3 linked regions of the Macaca mulatta genome follow. The protein of the gene in region 3 interacts with the protein of the main gene of each other region in a pairwise test. Links are inferred from orthologs where the notes say so. Each region holds a gene or a part of one and is shown on either strand. Other genes may lie near its edges.

Evidence for each region.
Region 1: the proteins of PPL (region 3) and ZSCAN1 interact in binary tests that used the Homo sapiens proteins (3 or more experiments, as listed by UniProt). The two-hybrid records come from large-scale screens. The link is inferred for Macaca mulatta from reciprocal best matches to the Homo sapiens genes PPL and ZSCAN1.
Region 2: the proteins of PPL (region 3) and AKT1 interact in a two-hybrid assay, tested with the Homo sapiens proteins (2 studies listed by BioGRID and IntAct). The link is inferred for Macaca mulatta from reciprocal best matches to the Homo sapiens genes PPL and AKT1.

The regions. Positions count from the first base shown.
Region 1 is NC_133424.1:70,175,412-70,183,164, reverse strand, and holds the end of ZSCAN1 (zinc finger and SCAN domain-containing protein 1), read right to left. Parts: intron 3,096-7,753; coding exon 2,957-3,095; intron 2,150-2,956; coding exon 1,527-2,149; 3' UTR 458-1,526; downstream 1-457. UniProt on the Homo sapiens protein: May be involved in transcriptional regulation.
Region 2 is NC_133412.1:178,213,201-178,220,953, forward strand, and holds part of AKT1 (RAC-alpha serine/threonine-protein kinase), read right to left. Parts: intron 7,192-7,753; coding exon 7,063-7,191; intron 4,162-7,062; coding exon 4,050-4,161; intron 3,269-4,049; coding exon 3,121-3,268; intron 2,664-3,120; coding exon 2,532-2,663; intron 2,460-2,531; coding exon 2,394-2,459; intron 1,219-2,393; coding exon 1,150-1,218; intron 796-1,149; coding exon 670-795; intron 592-669; coding exon 463-591; intron 313-462; coding exon 98-312; intron 1-97. UniProt on the Homo sapiens protein: AKT1 is one of 3 closely related serine/threonine-protein kinases (AKT1, AKT2 and AKT3) called the AKT kinase, and which regulate many processes including metabolism, proliferation, cell survival, growth and angiogenesis.
Region 3 is NC_133425.1:6,149,189-6,156,678, forward strand, and holds part of PPL (periplakin), read right to left. Parts: intron 6,388-7,490; coding exon 6,304-6,387; intron 5,546-6,303; coding exon 5,429-5,545; intron 4,585-5,428; coding exon 4,492-4,584; intron 3,415-4,491; coding exon 751-3,414; 3' UTR 1-750. UniProt on the Homo sapiens protein: Component of the cornified envelope of keratinocytes. May link the cornified envelope to desmosomes and intermediate filaments. May act as a localization signal in PKB/AKT-mediated signaling.

The DNA.
Region 1 (7,753 bases), on a different chromosome or scaffold from region 3:
CTTCCGAGAGTAATGGGCTGACTGCGGGGCCAAGACCCCACCCTCCATCCTGAGCTCGGTAGAAGAAGCTCCTCCTTTGCAGGATGAGAGAGAAGGCCCCAGGAGGGGAGCTGGAGCCCATCAGCAATTAAGGCATAGGATAGAGCCAGGAGCCCCCAGTGGGGACTGCAGGGAAAAGCTGGGGATGCCGGAGGGAGCCGGGGAAGCAAAGTCCAGAGGCCCGGTTGGGGGCGCTCCAGAAGGCAAGCGCGAGAAGGCAAGCACGGCAGCGAGGATGAAGTGAAGGCAGCGGCGGGTCCGTGGGACCTGCACAGCCTGTGAGGGCCGTCGGGGACAGAGGCCGAGAGTGGGGGCAGATTGGTTGAGAATCAGCAGCAGGCGGATGTGACGTGGGTAGGTCCAAAGGCTTTTGAGTTAGAAGGCGACTTGGAAAAATGTCTGCCTGTGCAGATTCACAGTCAGCCCAACACTGTGTTTCAAAGTGAAGTTGGGAGGAGAAAAAGAAAAAGACAAAAACTTTTAAGGCTTGAAAGAGGACAAGTGTCCAGCAACAATGAGTTGGGGATGGGCGAGACGCTGAATCTGAGGCTGGCTCCCTGCTGTGACCTCACCGCCTGCCCACCTCTGCTCCAGTCTAGCAGGAGAGGCGGCCCCACTCTTTGGAGACCATCTGGTTCTTCCTGGCAGACCAGAATGCCAGATTTTTATGGTTTAAACAAATGTTGGCATCCATCTCAAAAAAAAACTCCTTCTGTAAGTCAAACAAAATATAGGCAGGTCAGTTTTGGTCAGGCCTAAAGACTGCGCCTGAAATCCTTAGAGACAGGAAGCAGATTCTGGTTGTCAGGGCAGGCGGAACGGCGAAGGCGTGCTGAGGCCTGTGGGCTCTCTTTCTGGGCGAGATGAAAATGTCTTTGGAGCTAAAGAGTGCTGGTAGTTGCACAGTGTTGTGAATGTGTTTAATGCCACTGAACTGTGCATTTTTAATGACTGAAATGGTAAATTTTATGTTTCCCAAAAAAGGAAAAAAAACAAAACCCTGTTTATCTGTTAGGTTCCAAGGGGGCTGAGCTGGCAGGAGGGCAGCCGGGGTCAGCTGTACCCTTCTCTGGAGTTGGAGCTGCCCAGGCCGGCTCCCGCCCTCATGGCCTCAGGGATATCCACAGTGAAATGAAAACCCAGCGGCAGAGTCTGCCCCTGAGTCAGGTGCTCACAGGGAGACCTGGACAAGGCTTCTGAAAGACGAGACGTGAATGAAACTCCTCTTCAAGCCACTTGCAAAACACAGTGTGCAGGACTGACCAGGTTTTGCTGTGGAACTGCTGCTGCTTGGCCGAGATCCTGGGAAGCCATGCTCGGCTCTGGAGCAGGTGTCCAGGATCTTCTGAGAAGCAGCCTGTGTCCTTCAAGAGGAGTCCCATGGTGGCCAGGGGTTGGTGGGGCTGGGGGATGTCCCCCATCTTCTGGTGCCCATCGGTGCCCCCCGGGGACTCAGGGCCGGGTGGCCAAGGCCCGAGGCTGGCCATTCACATGTGGCCGTGGGCCGTGTGGAGTTTCTGATGGTCGATGAGGTGGACCATCCAGGGGAAGGCCTTCCCGCAGACGCTACACTGGAAGGGTCTCTTGGGGCTGCGAGGGGCCACTGAGCCTTGGGCTCCATCCCTGGGTGGGGCGGACTCCCGGGGGCCCTTGCTCCGGGGGACTTTCTTCCTGGGTGGCTCCAACAGGTGGATCTTGCCGTGCTCAGCAAGGACAGAGCTGTGCAGGAAGACCCTGCCACACTCGGGGCACGGAAAGGGCCCTTCCTCGCGATGGGTCTTCTGGTGCTCGATGAAGTGGGTGACCCAGGTGAAGACCATCCCGCAGTCGGCACACTGGAAGGGCCGCCCACCTCGGGGCCCACGCAGCGTTGCTGAGACCGCTGCAGCAGCCTCTTGGGTGCCACCTTTGGTGTGCTTGAGGGATGGCTGGTGGCGGACGCTCTGGTCAGTGTTCCTGTTTCTCCTTCGGGGACTGATTCTCTGAGCACTCGGACCCTTGAGGCTTGAGATCACAGCCCCTTCTGCACGCAGGTCTGAGGAGGGCCCTGCGAGAAGATCCTCAGGCTCGTCCCAGATACATGGCTTCAGAGACAGGCGGGCCCGGGACCCTGTGGAGGGCGAGGGAGACAGGTCACCTGTAGTGAGTGGATGGCTTTGGCATCTCCCTGTGCCCCCCAGGGGCGTGGAGGACCCCAATGACTGAGCCAAGTCTGGGCCCTTCTTCTGCTCAATATGTCCCCTGTGCCCTCTGTTCTGTCCTTTAAGATACAAGGGCACATGTGGCTGGGCGCAGTGGCTTACGCCTATAATCCCAGCACTTTGGCAGGCCGAGGAGCGTGGATCATGAGGTGACGAGTTCAAGACCAGCCTGTCCAACATGGTGAAACCCCATCTCTACTAAAATACAAAAATTAGCCAGGTGTGGCGGTGGGCACCTGTAATCCCAGCTACTCAGGAGGCTGAGGCAGGAGAATCGCTTGAATCCGGGAGGCAGAGGTTGCAGTGAGCCGAGATTGCACTACTGCACTCCAGCCTGGGCAACAGAGCAAGACTCCATCTCCAAAAAAAAAAAAAAAAGAAGGGCATGTGTTTTGGGAGCAGATCCCACAGCACTGGCCCCTTGTTCCTACCTGGCTGGCCTTCTGGGTAACCCTGTGCTCCAACACTGTCAGACTGTCTGCCTTGGCTGCTGTTCAGGTGGGGAGGCTGAGGCCCTTCTCGTGGGCTGAACGATGTATGTGGCAGTTCTAGGGGCCCCTGATCTCAGTCCCCACAGGAGGTGTGCATGGTTTCTGGGGGAAGTGTGGAGTTTACCACCGAAGCCCCCAACTCCACCCATTAACAAAGTCTGTGACTTTGGGTTGAGGTGCCAAACTCCATTTCCAACCCTTAATTCACGCGGGAGCCAGACTCACCCAGCAAGCCAGGGGCATGGGGCGCCTCGGCCTCCGCCCTGGTGTGCAGACTCTGCAGGAGCTGGGTGGGCTCCAGCCACTCACTTTCCTCAGGGAGTGCCGGGGCTGCTGCCGCTGCATCCAGAATCAGCTCAGACGCCTGGAATGGCAAGCACAGGACTGTTCGGCAGCTGCCCCTCAGGAGCCGTCCTCCCCACCACCACGGAACAACAAAGGAACGGGCGTCATCCCCAAAGGCTGTCTCCCAGGGCGGTATGTGGTGGCGTGCCTGTTGTTCCCCTGCTTTGGGATGCTGATGCCGGAGGATTGCTTGAGTCCAGGAGTTTGGGACCAGCCTGGGCAACATAGCAAGGCTCTGCTTATACAAAAAGATAAGTAACCACTCCCAAGGAGCTCTTACCAGGACCTGAGACATAATTCGAGGGGCCCCTGTACAAAATGGAAATGCAAGTCCCCTTGTTCAAAAATAGTTGATCATTTCAGGACGGTGACAACAGAGCATAAGATGGAGCCAGGGGACCCGTGCCACGGCTCAGGTCACTGTTACCCGCTGGGGCTCCTAACTCCCATCCCCCAAGGCTGCACTGTCCTTGCCCACAAGCCCAGAGAAGGTGGGCGACTGCACAGACTTCACATCCCACCTGCGACCTATGACCTCTGAGGCACTTAACCCTGTCCCGCCCAAAGCGGGGATCACCACTTCCTGGGAGGAGACTGAGCTGTAGTTGAAGAGCAAGAATTCAAAACAGAGGGGCTTGGCTTGGTATCCAGGCTCCAGCTCTGCTCGCTCTGTGACCCTGGCTGAGGAGCTTTAGCTCTCTGGGTTTCCAATGAGGATGTAGGTTCTACGTGCCCAGAGCCTGGTACCATCAAGGGCTCGGCAAACTGCAACAGGGTCGTGTCAAAGGAAAACACAGTGACACTTATCAATGCAAATCAAGTTGTTGGAGGAGGTATGTCGAGTCAAACAAAGCATGAGAAGAGAGACCAGGAGTCAAGCACGCACTGATAAGGTCTTGAGTGGGTCTTCGTTTTCTGCTGCCCCAACCCTGACTGGATGCACAGGGATCTCAGGAAGCTGTCCAAGATTCCCAACAGCTGGGCAGAACCGGAGTGGAGGGATTGCTGGGCTAGAGACAGAGGAGGGAGGGAGAGAGGGAGCTGGTGGCAGGAAGGGAGTTAAGGCACAAGAGTCTTCCTGCTCTCACATTGGGAGTATGTGGATGGTGTGTTTGGCTGGGCTGTTGATTTTTATTTATTATCAAATGCTAGTTTTGATTGTAAAACATGTTGAATTCTGAAATCGTCACCAGAGGAGCCATCATCTGCAAGAGTAAAGGCGGGACTCCCTTTTACGCCTCTTTCCGGTACCTGGCTGCTGGGGGCCACTGTGGACAGTCAGCCTACTCCCTACTTCACCCACCTTGGTGTCTGTGACTAATCAAGGGCAGCAGAGGGGCTGCGTGGAGAGAAGAGTGGGTGGCCTGTGTGTGTGTGTGTGGAGACGGGCATGCTTAGTTCCCCTGACTCTCGGGAGGCATCTGAGGAGCTATCAGCACACTTGGGTCGGGCACAGAAACCAAGACATTCCTGGGGCCCTATCTGTACCTTCAATGCAAACACATCCCCATAGCCCCAGTGAGCCACTGGCCACAGATCTGGGCTCTTATCCTTCCAGAGATGGACCCAGGTTTATTGTCTCAGGGATGACAGGTGGGGAGATTGGACAGGGGAGGGAGACGCAGTTACACCCTGGGAAAGTCCTAATGCAAACCAAGCAACCGAGAAAAAGAAAACAAGAATGAGGGTCCAGGCATGGTGGCTCACGCCTGTAATTCCAGCACTTTGGGAGGCAGAAGCGGGCGGATCAAGAGGTCAGGATATCGAGACCATCTTGGCCAACATGGTGAAACCCATCTCTACTAAAAATACAAAAATTAGCTGAGTGTGGTGATGCGCACCTGTAGTTCCAGCTACTTGGGAGGCTGAGGCAGGAGAATCACTTGAACCCAGGAGGCAGAGGTTGCAGTGAGCTGAGATCGCACCACTGCACTCCAGCCTGGTGACAGAGCGAGACTCCGTCTCAAACAAAACAAAAACGAGAATAAAGGAGAAATGTGAATGCCTGGCAACTTACTGTTTTTGAGGAATTATCTTAATGGCTCTATTTTATTTATTTATCTAGAGACAGGGTCTCGCTCTGTCACCCAGGCTGGAGTGCAGTGGCGCGATGTCTGTCAGCTCACTGCAACCTCCACTCCCTGGGTTTAAGCGATTCTTGTGCCTCAGCCTCCCGAGTAGCTGGGACCACGGGCACGTGCCACCACACCCAACTAATTTTTGTATTTTTTGGTAGAGATGAGGCTTCACCATGTTGGCCAGCCTGCTCTTGAACTCCTGACCTCTAGTGATCCACCCACCTCAGCCTCCCAAAGTGCTGGGATTACAGGCGTGAACCACCGCACCCGGCCAGGAATTATCTTAATGGCTTTAGTTGGGGCAATGTTGCTGGGTTATTTTGGAAAAAAAAGAAAGGAAAGAGTGGAGCAACATCACCAAGACGGTGGAGTAGGAGATACCAACCTTCATTTCCCCCTCCCACTACCCACACACAAATCAACTACAGACAGATATTCACAAGCCAGAATAGCCCAGAACGCTCAAGGACCCATTGAAGATCTGCAGCAACACAGTGGAGTAAAACGAAAAAACCCGAGAATGTCCACATGAAAAAGTTCACTGGTGAGATAATGCATACCTGAGATGCCAGGAGAACACTGTGAACAAAGAAGAAAAGCAGAGGCCACGAGTGTCAGCTACACGGTGGGAACCACCAGGGACCCCAGCAGTTTGCTCCACAGAGGACACTGGCATCACTTACCACTGACAGAGGTTCCAACAGTCATTCCCGCCAGGGCCTCAGGGTGCTACACCCATGTGATCTAAGGGACCTTAGAGTGCTACCCCCAAAGGGCTTCAGGCAGCTACTCTTACAGGCTTCTGGCAGCTCCCCACATGAGGTGATGGCGTTTCAGTCAACAACAGACCACACACACCACCGTGGTCCCATAAAATTATAATGACTGTCTTCCACCACCATTTGAAGTCCAACTCCATAGCATACACTGCTTCCTTACCCTGAGGGTGCACCAGCAGCCCCCTGCCTACAACTCCTCCAGGACCAGCAAAGACCTGAATGAGTACCGCAAGCAATACAGAGGAAATCACAGAGGGATCCAAGATCTGCAGGATGATGGTACAGTGTTACAAGCAAAAAGAGATCTGATGGTGTGTCTTGACTTAGGCTGGTTGCAGACTGCACAGTTAAAACAGTTACTGGAAGATCAAGGGGATTTGTATTTGTGCTTTTGGAAAATGCTAGTGCTGTTAAGGCCTTGGAATGGAAAGAACAGAAGCTGGATGGCAAATTGATAGGACCACCCCCCACCCCTGCCACATAGAGCCAAAGCTTGAAAAGGGAAAGAACCCCCTGAAAGGTTTTTGTGGGTGGATTGAGCCCAGCTACTTCTGAAGAACTAACTAAAGAATATTTTGGAGGTTTTGGAGAGATTGAAATTTTAAAGGCCAGGCGCAGTGGCTCACACCTAGAATCCCACCACTTTGGGAGGCCAAGGCCGAGACTGGAGAATTGCTTGACACCAGGAGTTCAAGACCAGTGTAGGCAACATAGCTAAGTCCCATCTCTACAAAATTGGGAAATTACCAGGCACTGTGGCTCAAGCCTGTAATTCTAGCTGAGATGGGAGGATCACTTGAGCCTGGGCAGTCAAGGCTGTAGTGAGCTGTAACTGCACCACTACACCCCAGTCTGGGGAGATCCCATCTCAAAAAAAGGAAAAAAGGGCTGGCCTCAGTGGCTCATGCCATGATCCTGGCACTTTGGGAGGCCAAGGCAGGTGGATCACTTGAAGTCAGGAATTCGAGACCAGCCTGGCCAACGTAGTGAAACCCCGTCTCTACTAAAAGTACAAAAATTAGCCAGGTATGGTGGTGTTCATCTGTGGGGCAGGAAAATTGTTTGAACCCAGGAGGTGGAGGTTGCAGTGAGCCGAGATCATGCCACTGCACTCCAGCCTGGGCGACAGAGCAAGACTCCATCTCAGAAAAAAAAAAAAAAGAAAGAAAAAGACAAAGAAAGAAAGTAACATGGTCTCACTCCATTGTCCAGCCTGGCCTCCAATTCCTGGGCTTGGGTTATCCTCTGGCCTTGGCCACCTCAAACACTGGGATTACAGATGAAAACTCGGCTCAAACCACAGCATTTACACTTACCTACGTGCCCCAGGGCAGTTAGTATACTCATTAAGAAACACTTGCAGGGTTAAAGCTATAAAATGCCTATTCATCAATTTTTTTGAGAATTCATAAATATTAAGGATCTAAAACAAACTTCTTTCTCAAGTAATTGAAATCTGAAAGCCTTTGGAAGCCAACTATCCCTGCACAAAGGTTTACAATTGAGAAATATCTCCTGTTCCTATTTTGTCAAGTTTCTTTACTGGCTGAACAAAAAGAAGCTTTGAGTAATGGAGAAGGCATCGTCTGAGCGCAGCTGCTTTCCTGGCTGCCTGTGCTGTTCCTATGTCTTCCAAATCCTATGCTTGGAGGCCCCTGGAGGGACATTTTTGCCAGGAACCAACCTGACCTTAAAAAGATGAGTGTGAAACAGCCGGCTGGGCAGGAGGGTGGAGGTGGCCACAGGACACTGTCTGCCCATGCCCTGGCCAGCCCGACCATGCTGCCGAGTGCCGAGTGCGGAGAGGCCGCCCTACCCAG
Region 2 (7,753 bases), on a different chromosome or scaffold from region 3:
GTCTGGGAGGTGCCAGGACCGCCTGGCACAGGGGCAGGTGCAGCCTGGGGGTGAGGGGATGGAGGTGGAGCCTGCAGCCGGGATGGGTGGCCCTCACCTCTGCTTGGGGTCCTTCTTGAGCAGCCCTGAGAGCAAGGACTTGGCCTCAGGACCAAGCGTGCGCGGGAAGCGGATCTCCTCCATGAGGATGAGCTCAAAAAGCTTCTCGTGGTCCTGGTTGTAGAAGGGCAGGCGGCCGCACATCATCTCATACATGACCACGCCCAGCCCCCACCAGTCCACCGCACGGCCGTAGTCATTGTCCTCCAGCACCTGCACGGGCGGCAGATGGGCAGGACTCGGCATCAGGGGGTGTCCGGGGGAGGTGTCGTGACGTGCTTGGGGCACAGAGAGGACACAGCTTTGCGTGTGCTCGGGACGTGGGGACACAGCGACGCGTATGCACACAGGTGGGGCGCACACCTCGGGGGCCAGGTACTCAGGTGTGCCGCAGAAGGTCTTCATGGTGGCGCCGTCCTTGATCCCCTCCTTGCACAGCCCGAAGTCTGTGATCTTAATGTGCCCGTCCTTGTCCAGCATGAGGTTCTCCAGCTAGGGGAAAGGTGGCCTCAGGTCAGTGCCGCCAGGCTCCCAGGGCCCTGCCCCCACCCCGAGTGCCCGCCGGCGCACCTTGAGGTCCCGGTACACCACATTCTTCTCCGAGTGCAGGTAGTCCAGGGCTGACACGATCTCGGCGCCATAGAAGCGGGCCCGGTCCTCAGAGAACACACGCTCCCGGGACAGGTGGAAGAAGAGCTGTGGGAAGCACGACCTGAGGCACAGCCGTGGCCGGGGCCTCTGCCCCCACGGCCTGCAGGGTTGGGGTTTCTCAGGCAGGGGCTCAGGGCATTGGGCACAGGGAAGGGACCAGCCCCCAGAGGGCACGGGGGCCTGGAAAGTCTCAGAAGCCCTAACTCAGCAGGAACAAGTCACCCCACAGCAGGCAGCTGCCTGGGCAGGCGTCATACCACCCACCCAGCAGGGAGCACCGTCTGGTGCTGTGGAGAGTAGCCGAGGTTCCGGGAAGGACCAGCCCCACTATGGGTGGCCCAGCTGCCAGGGCTGGGTCCACAGGCCGTGAGGCCCATCCCCCGCAGCCCCAGCCCCTACCTCGCCCCCATTGGCGTACTCCATGACGAAGCAGAGGCGGTCGTGGGTCTGGAAGGAGTACTTCAGGGCCTGCAAGGAAGCGGAGCTGGAACTGCAGCCCCACGGGCAGGACAGCAGCCCCACACCACGCTGCCCGATACCATGCTGCTTGATACCATGCCACCCGTAGCCCCACACCATGCTGCCCGACACCACGCTGCCTGATACCATGCTGCTTGATACCATGCCACCCGATACCATGCCACCCGTAGCCCCACGCCACGCTGCCTCACACCACATTGCCCGATACCACGCTGCCCCACACCACGCTGCCCCGCACCACACCCCCACATCACACTGCCTCACACCACATTGTCCCACACCACACACCCCCACATCACACTGTCTCACACCACATTGTCCCACACCACACACCCCCACATCACACTGTCTCACACCACATTGTCCCACACCACACACCCCCACATCACACTGCCTCACACCACATTGTCCCACACCACACACCCCCACATCACACTGTCTCACACCACATTGTCCCACACCACACACCCCCACATCACACTGCCTCATGCCACACCCCCACACCACGCCATCAGGCTGGGCCCTGGCAGCCCCTGAGGCGCCAAGGAGTGTTTGAAAGGTGAGCAAAGTGGCCTGGGCTCAGGTCTCCAGGGCGGGTTGGGACCTCAACAGGGGGCAGTGCTCCCAGCACCAGAGCCCTGGCAAGGGAGGATGCACCCTCCCAGGCAGAGCCACCTTCCTGCCTTCCACCACAGGCGGCTGTGCTTTTAAAGCAAAGGCCCCTTCTGCAGGAGAATCATCCCCAAACACAGTGACCTGGAACTAACCACGTGGCTGGAGTCTGGCCCCCTTCACAGTAAATACCTCCTGGGTCGAGTCCCCAGAACGGGCTCCCCAGGACAGAGCCCGGGCCTCAACAGAAGCCTGGCAGGCAGGGCTGCAGGGCATGGGGAGCTGGGGCCTCCCGGAGCCTCGGCAGAGTGCAAAGACGACCAGGGCCACCTGCCCCACCTGCCTGCACACAGGAGCGGCGAGCACAGCCCCCAGCCCACATCGGGCACCTCCACAGCCTGACCCTCCGGGGCAGGCCTGTCACCAGCGGCAGAATCCGCGGTGCGTAAAGTCCTCACGTGCCCAAGAAGACAGGACATCGTTCCCTAGAGACAGCCCCAGGAGTCGCCACCTGACCCCAGCCCTTCAGCCCCATCTGGGCTCCCACTCACCGTGAGGAAGGGGTGCCTGGAGTTCTGCAGAACACGGTTCTCGGTGAGTGTGTGGGCCACCTCGTCCTGTAAGGCAGGGCTGGGTGAGCTGCCGCCCAGCATCCTCGTCTCCACCCTGCCCCACCACCCCGGCCCCACCTTGGCCACGATGACCTCCTTCTTGAGGATCTTCATGGCATAGTAGCGGCCCGTTGCCTTCTCCTTCACCAGGATCACCTTCCCGAAAGTGCCCTTGCCCAGCAGCTTCAGGTACTCAAACTCGTTCATGGTCTGTGGGCAGGCACCAGGGTCAGCGGGGGGCGCTGCCCACAGTGCCCAGCTGGTCGGCATGTGTCAGGTGGCATGGGGGCCCCAGAGTCACCCTTGGCAGACTTGGAGGCGGAGCCAGGAGAGGCGACCGCTTCACACCTGGTGGCCTGCGGGGCTCAGCGGGGAGTCCGGACTTACAGGGAACACACGGTGCAGCCCTAGCTCAGAGCGTGGGGTTCGGGGAAGGGTGGGGTAACACTGCCCAAGCCTGGCAGGGCTCAGCAGCCCCACTATTTCTCTGACATAGGGAAGAGGACCCACCTGGGAAGCAGCTGCGCCCCACATGGAAAACCGGCCTAGATGGGGATGCTGTGGAGTGCTGAGTGTCTCCTGGGCCAAGCTGGGACCCCATGACCCACCCAGCTCTCCACAGCCCAAGGTAGCCCCAGGCATAGGCAGAAAGGGGGACAGGCCTTACCACACGGTGCTTGGGTTTGGCCAGGGACACCTCCATCTCTTCAGCCCCTGAGTTGTCGCTGGGTGAGCCCGACCGGAAGTCCATCATCTCCTCCTCGTGCTTCTTGAGGCCATCGGCCACTGTCTGGATGGCGGTTGTCCACTCCTCCCTGCAGGAGGTCAGGTGAGGCTGTAGCCCTGCACCTCACCCCATGAGGTCAGGAGCTCCACCCCACGGCTTACACCCACCCTCCAGCCTCACAAGCGGGGTCCCCAGAGACAGCCCTGAGGAGGCCACCCCTTGACCTGGGCTGGCCACACACACTCAGGGTCAGAAAGCCCTTCTGGACCTGAGGGACACGCAGGCTTAGCCCCCAAGTAGGGTTCAAGCCCCCAGCAGGGCTCTGTCCCCACAGGCAAACTCCAACCCCCAGCAGGACCCAGGCCCACAGCAGGACTCCGCCCCCCAGGCTTGCTCTATCACCCAGGCTGGAGTGCACTGGTACAATCTCGGCTCACTGCGGCCTCCGCCTCTTGGGTTCAAGCAATTCTTGTGCCTCAGCCTCCCAAGTAGCTGGGATCACAGGTGTGCACCACCACACCCAGCTAAGTTTTATATTTTTAGTAGAGGCGGGGGTTTCACCATGTTGGCCAGGCCGGTCTTGAACTCCTGGTCTCAAGTGATCTGCCCATCTCAGCCTCCCAAAGTGCCAAGATTATAGATGTCGGCCACTGTGCCCGGTCCCTAGACAGTTTTTATCTCCAGCCTCAGTTTCCCCACCCAACCCCACAGGACTGGGCCAGTTTCCAAACCGGGCTCTGAGGAGGGCCTGGGATCACTGGGGAGTAAGGATGGCTATAGGCAGAGGCGCCCAGCACCCGCCATCCCCACGTCCCTCCTAAGCGCTAGGGCTGCCCAAGTGCCCGGCCTGGCCGCCGCAGCCCACGTACCGCTCCTCGGGAGTCTCCACGTGGAAGGTGCGTTCGATGACAGTGGTCCACTGCAGGCAGCGGATGATGAAGGTGTTGGGCCGGGGCCGCTCCGTCTTCATCAGCTGGCACTCTGCGGGCAAGCAGAGCCTCTGTCTGCATGCATCCCCCTGCCCCTCCCAGGGCCCTCACCACAGTCCCCACCGCACCAGCCAGCTCCCCTTGCATACCACCCACAAGTCCTAGGAAGCCCCACCTCCTCCTCTCTCCAAGCCTCAGTTTCTCGCCTCATAGAGTGGGGCTAGGACCCCCATTCCAGCTCAGACACTCTATTCCAGGTTGAGGCAGCCCCAAAGGGCATCTGGCCCAAGGTCAGGTCAACCCCCCCGCATCGTCCCCTCCTACAGTCCCCTTCCTTCAGTCACTGAGCCCCACCGTGCACCAGGCCTCAGAGGATGAGGGATATGGAGATCCCACAGAGGGGCTGGCATGAGGGGGCCACCCCAGAAAGCAGCTTGTCCCACCTAGTGTAGAAATGTCCTGCTATTTTCCCAATCTCACCCTGAGTACCTGGGAAATACACCTGGGGGCACACGCACACCTGGGGGCACAGCCACACCTGGTGCACAGCCACACCTGGGGCACACCACACCCGGGGCACACCACACCTGGTGCACAGTCACACCCGGGGCACAGCCACACCTGGGGCACAGCCACACCTGGGGCACACCATACCTGGTGCACACCCACACCTGGTGCACACCCAAACCTGGAGCACACCCACACCCAGGGCACACCCACATCTGGGGCACACCCACACCTGGAGCACACCCACACCCGGGGCACACACATATGTGGGGCACAGCCACACCCAGAACAGTCACACCCAGGGCACACCCACATCTGGGGCACAGTCACACCCGGGGCACACCCACATGTGGGGCACAGCCACACTCGGAACACAGCCACACCTGGGGCACACAGTCACACCAGGGGTACACCCACACGTGGAACACACCCACACCCGGGGCACACCCACACTCGGGGCACAGCCACATCTGGGGCACACACACACCTGGGGCACAGCCACATCTGGTGCACAGCCACACCTGGGGCACACACACACCTGGAGCGCACACACACCTGGGGAACACATACGTGGGGCACAGCCATTCCTACTGCACATACACCCTGAGGGCTGTGGGAACGTGCGGGGCCCTGAGAGGTGTGAGTGAGTGCAGTGTGTAGCCGCTGGGGCTCCTTGGCAGGCTCTGGCCCAGCCTGTGCAAAGCAGGAGGGGGCTGAGGGGCCAGTAGGGGGCCTCTGACATTCCAGCATCGAGGCCCTGGCAACCACAAGGGGGCCTGGCCAGGCAGCGAGGGAGCTGTCTTCCAGGCCTGGGGGCCAGGAGGGGGCTCGGGACCAGCCTGGTGGGGAGGGTGGCCTGTGTCAACACAGGCCAGAGAAGTGGAAACCAGTGTGAAGCCCCGGCACACCCACCTCCCACTTGCTCCTGGATGGTCTGATCTGCCCTAATATGCAATCCCCAGGGCCAGGGTCTCGAGCCCACTGCCCCGGAACCCTTCCCCGGAGAAAAGCTCCTGGCCCCTGCCCAGCTCTGCTCCTTGGCCAGGCACTCCAGACCACCCACCTATGGCCTCATCTGAAGGCCCCAGCCTTGCCGGCTGCTCAGGCACCACCCCAGCTGGTACCCACCCGTGTGCCTCCCCAGAGAGCTCCCCTCTTCCTTCCTTCCTGATGCCTCGGCCTGGCGAGCACACCCACAGCACCCGTCCCCAGCAAGGCCCTGTCCCAGGTGCCACCAGGCACACAGCGAGTATCCAGCCTCTCCCTGATCCCTGAAGCCCCCAGCCCCAACCAAGGAGACACTGGGGAGGGCGTGGGGCAAGTTACGCAGCCCTGCCACATACAGATGGCCCACAACTGGGTCCTACTTAGCTACTCAATCACACCTTTGGCTGCCACGGGCAGAGCTGGGCTCCAGGACAGGGACACAGAAAATGGGGACCATGCTGGGAGGCCCACGTGCCCCCAGCCTCCCACCTAGCAGGGCGCCTGGGTCTCCATGCCAGGGTTCCCGTCTAACATGGGTAGGGTCGCACCTGCCCCCGCTACAGGTAGGAAATAAAGCCACAGCAGGGCGAAGCAGGGAGTGTCACGTCTCTCATCTCTGTGGGATGCTCTGGCCAAGGTCCCCCGCTGGCCTTTCTGCACCCGCCCCTTCGTGGGCAAGGAGGCTTCCAGCCTGCAGCCTCACAGAGGGAAGCAAAGGTTCCGCCACGGGGTTTGGGGACCGAGCGCCTGTGCGGGCAGAGGCATGAGCTCTTCCTCGAGTGATGGAGGCTTCAGAGCTAGAGACCCAGGTGGGCTCTATCTGCCCCGCTTGGAGGAGGGGCCCCCGGGTCAGCTGTCCACCCTGAGGCTAGGCTCTGCTACCACTTGTCTGGACCCTCCAGCCTCCAGAGCATGGGCACCAGGGAACTGCTCCACAGTCAGCCAGCATTGGGACTCGGCCCAGAGACCCCCGCCTAGCCAGCCTCAGGACTCAGCTCAGAGACCCCTGCCCAGCCAGCCTCGGCCTCGGGACTCGGCCCAGAGACCCCCGCCTAGCCAGCCTCAGGACTCAGCTCAGAGACCCCTGCCCAGCCAGCCTCGGCCTCGGGACTCGGCCCAGAGACCCCCGCCTAGCCAGCCTCAGGACTCAGCTCAGAGACCCCTGCCCAGCCAGCCTCGGCCTCGGGACTCGGCCCAGAGACCCTCGCCTAGCCAGCCTCAGCCTTAGGACTCAGCCTGGAGACCCCCACCCAGTCAGCCTCGGCTTTGGGACTCAGCCTGGAGACCCCTGCCCAGCCAGCCTCGGGACTCAGCCCAGAGACCCCCACCCAACCCGTGCTTGTTGCTTGCTGGCCCAGAACATGGAGGCTCCAGGGCACCCCCATCGGGGGGCCTGGTGGGCAAAGAGGGCTCCAGCCAACCCCAAATCTGAATCCCGAAAGGCTGAGGGGACACTTACGTGCCACAGAGAAGTTGTTGAGGGGGGCCTCACGTTGGTCCACGTCCTGCGGCCGCTCCTTATAGCCAATGAAAGTGCCATCATTCTTGAGGAGGAAGTAGCGTGGTCGCCAGGTCTTGATGTACTCCCCTACGGACGTGCAGGTGGTGAGGGCCATGCACACTCTACCCGTCAGACCCTCGCCAGGCAGCCAGGTAGCAACTGGTGTGCCAGGACAGATGTGCCTGGGACGCCTGAGTCCCGGGGGGCAGGCGCAGTGGGGGAGCTGTTTCTTAGGGCAAGCGACAGAAACAGCCCTGGGTCAGTGGGAAGGCAGACTCGCCCCACCACAGCGCCCCTCTCAGAAGAGCCACCCCTATCTGTGTGTGAAAACGGGCTGGGCCAGCTGGACGCAGGGGATGGAGTACCATTGACAGGAGGCTGGGAAGAGGTCTGGGCCAATCTGCACAGCCTTCCTGGAAGAGGCAGCACCAAACCAGCCAGTCCCCAGCAGGCACCAGCAGCAGCTCCGGCACCAGCTATGGCCACAGGGGCTGCAGGGCTGAAAGCATTCCCCAATCAACCAGGGTTGGCCAGGTGGCGACAGCAGCTGACAGTGGCATGTGTGGGCTGTCCAGCAGGGCCGCCCCCCGACCCCTGCTACCCACCAAGAGGATGGAGCATGGCGTCAGCAGTGAGAGATCAGCATCAC
Region 3 (7,490 bases):
GGAGAGATGTCATGCCAGGCAGCAGCCCCCACGGGCCCAGGCCTTTGTGGGGCAGTGTCACTGGTGTGCCACCAGTACCCATGCTGCATGGAGTGGGCTTGGCTGCTGTGGTTGGCTTGTGCTTTAGTGGTTTTCAGATGGTGTGCAGGTGTCACGAGGAGTTTGTTGCTGGGAGTGTATAGGAAAAGGCAATGCAGTTGTCCAATGATTGGAGGATGAAGTGGGTCACTAGGGTGAAGGATGGTTGGAACGAGAGTTGCCTGTCTTCAGCCAGTGCCTGTTCTATATGTGGGCTGGACTCTGAGCAGCCTGGCAGCAAGGGTGTGTATAAAATGCTTGGCCTAGGCCGGGCGCGGTGGCTCAGGCCTGTAATGCCAGCACTTTGGGAGGCCGAGACGGGCGGATCACGAGGTCAGGAGATCGAGACCATCCTGGCTAACACGGTGAAACCCCGTCTCTACTAAAAATACAAGAAAATTAGCTGGGCGAGGTGGCGGGCGCCTGTAGTCCCAGCTACTCGGGAGGCTGAGGCAGGAGAATGGCGTGAACCCGGGGGGGCGGAGCTTGCAGTGAGCCGAGATCGCGCCACTGCACTCCACCCTGGGGCACAGAGCAAGACTCCGTCTCAAAAAAAAAAAAAAAAAAAAATGCTTGGCCTGCACCAGGGCTAGGGAGAAGACGACACCAGGGAGGTCACAGCGTCGGAGGAGAACCAGCATCTGCTGCTATGAAGAGTTACAAGAGCTGTGCCTACTTCTGCCCAGATACCAAGACCGCCAGCTCCTGGATGGACATGTCCTTGTTGACGTAGCGGTCATACTGAGCAGGGGTCAGCCTGCCGCTCTGCAGGGCCTCTTCAATGGAGAACTTCTTGCCAGACTTCCTGTCGTGTATTACTGAGGACTCACCATTAGGACCCTTCACTGAGATCTCCTCCCAGTCGCACTCCTGGCTTCTGAGTTTCACGAACATGTTCCAGTCGATGAGCCCCACGCGGTGGGCTTCCTCCGGGGACAGCTCGCGGCCTGTGTCGGGGTGGATGACTACGATGGAGCGCCGCAGGTGGTTCTCCCGCTGCTCCCGCTTGACAGCCACGGAGCCCAGACGTTTCTGCAGCTCGTCGATCTCGAGGTCTTTGTCCTTGGAGAGCCTCTTGAGGTCATCTAGTTCCCTCTCGAGGGACCACAGTCTGGAGTCATGGTTGGTCCCGGAGTCCGCCACGGTCATGTTCCGCAGGTCTCGTGTTTCCGTCGCTGCCATGTCAATTTCCGATTGGAGCCTTCGGGTCTCCAGCTGCAGGTTTTGCCTCTCCAGCTGTAATTTGTGGTTCTCTTCCCTTAGAAAATCTAGTTCCTTGGATGACTTGGAGTTATGAAATTCCAGCTCCGCAAGTCTGGCTTCCAGCCGGCTCACCTCGACATCCAGCTCGCGCTTGCTGCGGCTCTCCTCCTCCAGGTTGCTCTTGAGCCTCTGGATCTCTTGCTCGGTGTCACCCTTCTCCACCTGGATGCTCTCGGAGAGCACCACCTTCTCCTTGACCTCCGCCTTCTCCAGTGCAGCCAGTTTCCTCCGGAGGGGCTCAAGCTCACCCTCCAGGAGCTGCCGCCGGTGCTGCTCTTCTTCCAGCTGGAGTCGGAGCAGGGCATGCTCTCGGGCCTGCTGCGGGTCCTGCTGCAGCACCACCTTCTGCTTGCGGGTTACCTTCTCACGGGCCTCCGCTTCTTCCTGCTCCAGCGCTGCCAGCCGCTGCTGCAACCGCTGCACCTCGCGCTCGGCCTCCCTGCGGGCCTGCCGCTCACGCTCCAGCTCCTCCAGCTGCCGCTCAAGCTCGGTGCGCCGGCGCTGCAGCCTCCGCAGCTCTGCCCGCAGCTTGTCAATCTGTCGCAGCTCCACGTCGATGCTCTCGGCAAAGGCGCTCACCTCGGCCCGCAGGCCTGGCTCCTCCTCGTACCTGACTACCTCCTGCTGCACCACCCTTTCCTTCACTCGCGAGAGCTCCTCCTCCTTCTGGGCGATCTGCTTTTCCTGGGAGGCCTTCTCCCTCTCCAGATCCACTTGCTTCTTCTGCTCCTCTGAGAGCTTTGCCCTCAGAGACTCCACCTCCTCCTTGGTTTGAGGGTCTTCTTGGAATTGGAGGATCTCCTGGACCACTTCTTTGGTCTGGACCTGGGGTTTGGTGTCTTTCAGGGCCTGGATTTCCTGCTTGAGCTGGTAGATCTCTAAATCACACCTTTCAATCAGTCTGGTCTTGTCCACGATCTCCTCCCTAAGCCGCTGAAGCTCCTTCTCCATCTCGGGGTCAGTTTTGTACTTAATGACTTCCTTAGTCACCTCTTTGACTTCCACCTGGGGGCCTCGCCTCCTGAGGGCCTCCAGCTCGCTCTGGTAGCTCCGGAGCTGCTCCTCGGCACCCCGGTACTTTCGCTCCTGCTCCACAAGCTCCAGGCGGAGGTTGGCCACCTCACTCTCCGCCTTGGGGTCTGGCCGCACGATCTCCCTCACCTTCTCCTGCACCACCACTTTGGCGTTCTCCTCCTCTAAGGCCCATATCTTCCGGAGCAGCTCCGTCTTCTCCCTCTGGCTAGCGCGAGCCTTGGCAGCCTCGTCCTCGTATTGGCGGGTGAGATCGCTGACCTCCCTCTCGGTGGCTGCGTCCTTCTCCACCTTGAGCACCTCCTTGACGGTGATCTTGCCCTCAGCCATGGCCCGCTCCTTCTCCAGCCTCTTGAGCTTGTCCTGGAGGAAGCTCAGCTCCTCCTCCTGCTTCTCCCTGAGCTGGCCCTGGCACTGGTGGTCCTCCTGCAGCTGCTGGTACTCTGCCTCCAGCTGGGGGTCATTCTGCAGTTTCACCACCTCTTTCTCGGTGACCTTCTCCTGTGCCCGGCTCTTCTCCTCGGCCAGGACGGCCACACGCTGCTGCAGGAGGAGCACCTCTGCCTCCCGGGCGCCCTTCTGCCGCCTCAGTACCTCCAGCTCCTCCCGCAGCTGCAAGACCTCATCCGCCTGGGCCCTGTCGGGCTCAATGCGCAGGACCTCTTTGACCACGTACTCCTGCCCCCCATCCCTGGTCTCCTGCTCCAGGGCACGCAGCTGCAGTTGCAGTGCCTCCAGCTCCTCCTGCAGCAACTGGTTCTTGTGCTGCTCCTCTGCCAGCGTCTGCTGCAGCTGCTGGAAGCTCTCCTCCAGTGCGGGATCCGGCACCTTCTTGAGCACCTCCTTCCTCACCACCGATTCCTGAGGCCCCTGATTCCTCAAGGTCCGGATTTCTTCCTGGGTGCTCTTGACCTCGTTCTCCAGCTGCTGCCTCCGCTCAGTCTCCTCATCCAGTTGCTTCCTGATCTTCCACGCCTGCTCCACTCCAGAGTCCGGCCTGTTCCTTTGCAGGGTCTCATGGGTCACTTCGACTTCCGGCTGCTGTGATGGAGAAGACAAGACAAGGTTAAAGCCAGGCTCTGGCAGCACATGTGGGGCCTGTCCCCAGCTGGTCAGAGCGGCTGTCCTGTGATCCCCAAGGGACTCCCTCAGCGCCAGTTCATGTTCGTTGTAGAGTTCTAGGGTTACTTTCAAAAATGATCAAACAACTAGTTTGGGGTTTTTTTTAATTAGGTAAAACATTTTTGAGCTGTGGAAGAGTTTAAAATGAAACCATGGTCTCCCACCTCTGGTCCCCTTCCTAGGGCGTGTCTGTCTATGCTCACACAAGCATGTCTGTCTGTAGTATGCACCATGTGTTTATCTTTCCTGCACAAATGGTATTCTTGCTGTGTGCCCTGCCGCTGACTGCACTGACAGAGCTCATTCCAGCTCCGCACAGAGAGTACTGCTTCAGGATTTACCAGCAGCATAGTTTCTACTCTGGACAGACCGCAGTTTAGCCCATTGCTGATGAAGAGTGAACCGCTTCCAGTGTCTTGCTATTACAAACAATGCTGTCGTAAACATCATGGACTTCAGAAAATAACATTCATTTTCTTTGCTTTCTTTTTTTTTTTTTGAGACAGAGTCTCGCTCTGTTGCCCAGCTGGAGTGCAATGGCACAATCTCGTCTCCCTGCAACCTCCACCTCCTGGGTTCAAGCAATTCTCCTGCCTCAGTCTCCTGAGTAGCTGGGATTACAGGCATGCGCCACGCCGCCCAGCTAATTTTTGCATTTTTAGTAGACACAGCGTTTCACCATGTTGGCCAGGCTGGTCTCAAACTCCTGACCTCAGGTGATCCGCCCGCCTCGGCCTCCCAGAGTGCTGGGATTACAAGCGTGAGCCACCATGTTTAGCTGAAAATAGCATTCACTTTCAGCAGACGTTTACTAAGTTGAATAAGTTCTCATGTCAGTAGAAGCATTGGCTCGGGCCAGTCTTTGCACTGGTCCTGCCCAGAAACGTTAGCAAGGGGACACTCCCATCAATTCACAGACTATTTCTCTGAGACAGAGTCTGTCTTTGTCACCTGTTAGCACAGCTTGAAGTAGGATTTCTTACGAAGATCAGTTACCTGTCTCAGGAGATTCAGAGCAAACTCCAGATTCTGCAGCCTCTGTCTGTTGATGGCGTAAACTTCAGTGAACTTGGCGGCAAGTGCTGCTTCCTGCAGACAAGACGTTTAGGAGAGCGATCAACAAACAGGTGTCAACAGGGTAAGCAACAGAGAGCTAGAGAGCGTGGGCGTGGTTCTTGAGAAGTATGGAATTTGGGGGTAGAGGCATAACTCTTGCTTTAGTCTCACTGGTGGAGAGAAAACTGGATCTCGAGGCAGAAGATCCAGACCAGGGTCTTGACTACACTGACTTTGAGCACCAGTGTTCTTTCTTGTGTGTGCAAGGGACTAATATCAGCCCTCCACTCTACTTACTGAGCAAAAGAGGAACTTTCCAGATCCATGGCTTTGACCCTGACACTGCTGTTCAGCTGTGTTTTCAAAAGTTTTTACTTTTTAAAGACAGAATCTCTCTCACTCAGACTGAAGTGCAATGCTGTGATTGCAGCTCACTACAGCCTTGAACTCCTGGGCTCAAGTGATCCTCCCTCCTCAGCCTCCCAAGCAGCTGCAGGGTGCACCACCACGCCTGGCTAATTTTTTTGTAGATTTGGGGTCCTGCTTTGTTGCCTGGGCTGGTCTCAAACTCCTGGGCTCAAGCAGTTCTCCCACCTTGGCCTCCCCAAGTGCTAGGATTACAGGTGCTAGGAGCCACCCAAAGTGCTAGGAGCCACCACGCCCAGCCTTGCTGTCTTTCTAGGCATATCGCTGTCACTGCCCTAGAGCAAGTTCCTCATCTTCTCTTACCATACCTGTTTGCACACAGGAGGGCTCTCAGTGGCTTCCCTGTTGTATGTGCATCTCTGAGGCCAGCGCGTGACACCAATGCTCCCTGGGGAGCAGGGCAGCTTGGCCTCCACCTCAGTCCCGAGGCCGCCCGGCCCACAAAACTCACCTCTTCCTTCACTTTGGCGGCAGGAGATTGGAGCCTGGCTCTCTTGCTCACGTGGCTGCTCCTTCCATTCTCCAAGTCGAGAAGAGACCTTAGTTTTTCTGCTTCTAACTCATAGTCCTGCATGAGTGAGAGACATGGCAGAGGGTAGATTAAAACAGGTTAGAAGAGACAGACATGTTCCTGTACCCCTTCCGGCTGACCCAGACCAGCCCTGTGCCATGTGCTGGTTTTATAATCTGCACGGGTCTTCCTCACAGCTGCACCCTGTAGTGATTGCCAGGAGGTTTTGAGAATTACCGATACCTCAGCAGTACAGAGCTCCATCACTCAGTAACATACAAGACAAGAAAAAGCACCCCCCGAATTCCCCTCCCGACCTTCCTACATGCCTAGAGATTTTCACCTGCTGCTGCTGCTTTTAACATTGTACCATCACCTTGTCTCACCTTGCCACCACCTCTTCTCATGTTTACCAGCTTGCAGACTTCATAATCCAGCAAGTGGATGTGTGCTGCTTCACGCAGCTTTCCCCTTCCACTGGACACCCGTCCTTTCCAGCTTACTAGTTTTGCTATTGTAAATAGGGCTGTTGCAACAATTTTATCCTGCTTTTTTTTTTGGTATTTTTTCTTTAAGGATAAATTCCCCCAAAGAGTTTACTGCTTCAGAGTATAAAACCCTTTTACGGCATTGCATGTCTAGTACCATGCTATTTTCCCAAAAGCCCATGCCAGTTTGCACAGCAGCCAGCAGTGCCGCCAGATGGCCAGCTCCACCCACATGTGCCAAGGCTGGTGCTTGCTGCTTCTCTGACCAGGGGACGGAGGAACGAGGCCCCTGCTGTTTGTGCTTCGGGCAGAAGTTTCCCGGCTCACCTTTACAGCCTGCTGGTACTGCTGGGAATTGGCACAGATCTTCTGTACTTCCTGCTCCCTACTTGCTATCTCATCTAGCAGGTTCTGTAAGACACAGTTTAAAAATCAAAACGAACCGGAAAAAAAATTTAAAAAAGCAAACGTGGATGAAGTAGCTGGAAATCTCAGAATCTGAATTTACTCTTCTCTAGCACAAAGTATGATGAATGGCTCCCTGGTATACATTATTGTTCATTGCAAAAGGCAGTTTTTTTTTTTTTGGTTTTGTTTTTTTTGTTTTTTGAGACAGAGTCTCACTGCATTGCCCAGGCTGGAGTGCAGTGGTGCAATCTTGGCTCACTGCAACCTTAGCCTCCTGGGTTCAAGCAGTTCTGCCTCAGCCTCCCAAGTAGCTGGGACTACAGGCTCCTGCCACCATACCCAGCTAGGTTTTTTTTTGTATTTTTAGTAGACATGGGGTTTCACTGTTGCCAGGCTGGTCTTGAATTCCTCACTTCGTGATCCACCTGCCTCGGCCTCCCAAAATGCTGGCATTACAGGCGTGAGCTACTGCACCCGGCCATAAAAGGCAATTCTAAGGCTCTGTGAAGGGCCAAGATCATTATCTCTGCTAGGAAACAAATGTTTACTGATGATTTGGACCACCAGACACTGTTCTGCTCTCTGACTTAGATTATCTCATTTGATCTTCAAGTGATGCCAGAAGGTAAGCATCGTGACCTCCAGCTTATGAGTGAGGAAAGTAAAGTTTCCAAAGTGGGGATGTGGCTGATGGGGTGGACCTGGGAGTTGCATCTCAGCCTTTATCTTCCCATGTTCTTCCCTCACCCCAAGGCACTGTGTTGGGCCTGGGGAGGCCGGAGTCCCAACTTTGGAAATGGGATTTTCCCCACAAAGGCGGCTCCTCATTCTGTAGCTGCTCACTCAGATAGCCAACCCACGCCAGGCGTCCACTCTGCACCAGGCCCTGTGCGGGGCACTGAGCTGGGAGAGGTGAGCGACACACTCGGATCTTGTTCTCAGAGGGTTGGGTGTTGGGAGCCTGAGAGCTGAGGCCCAGGGAGGACATAGCTGTGGCAGGCCTCTGCCCTGCTCCACCTCCCAAAAGCTTGGCTCCCCAGAAAGGGGCTTGCTGACCTCTGACCCTCCCTCGCCAGTGTGTGCCTGGGGCTGCAGAAGCGGCCGTC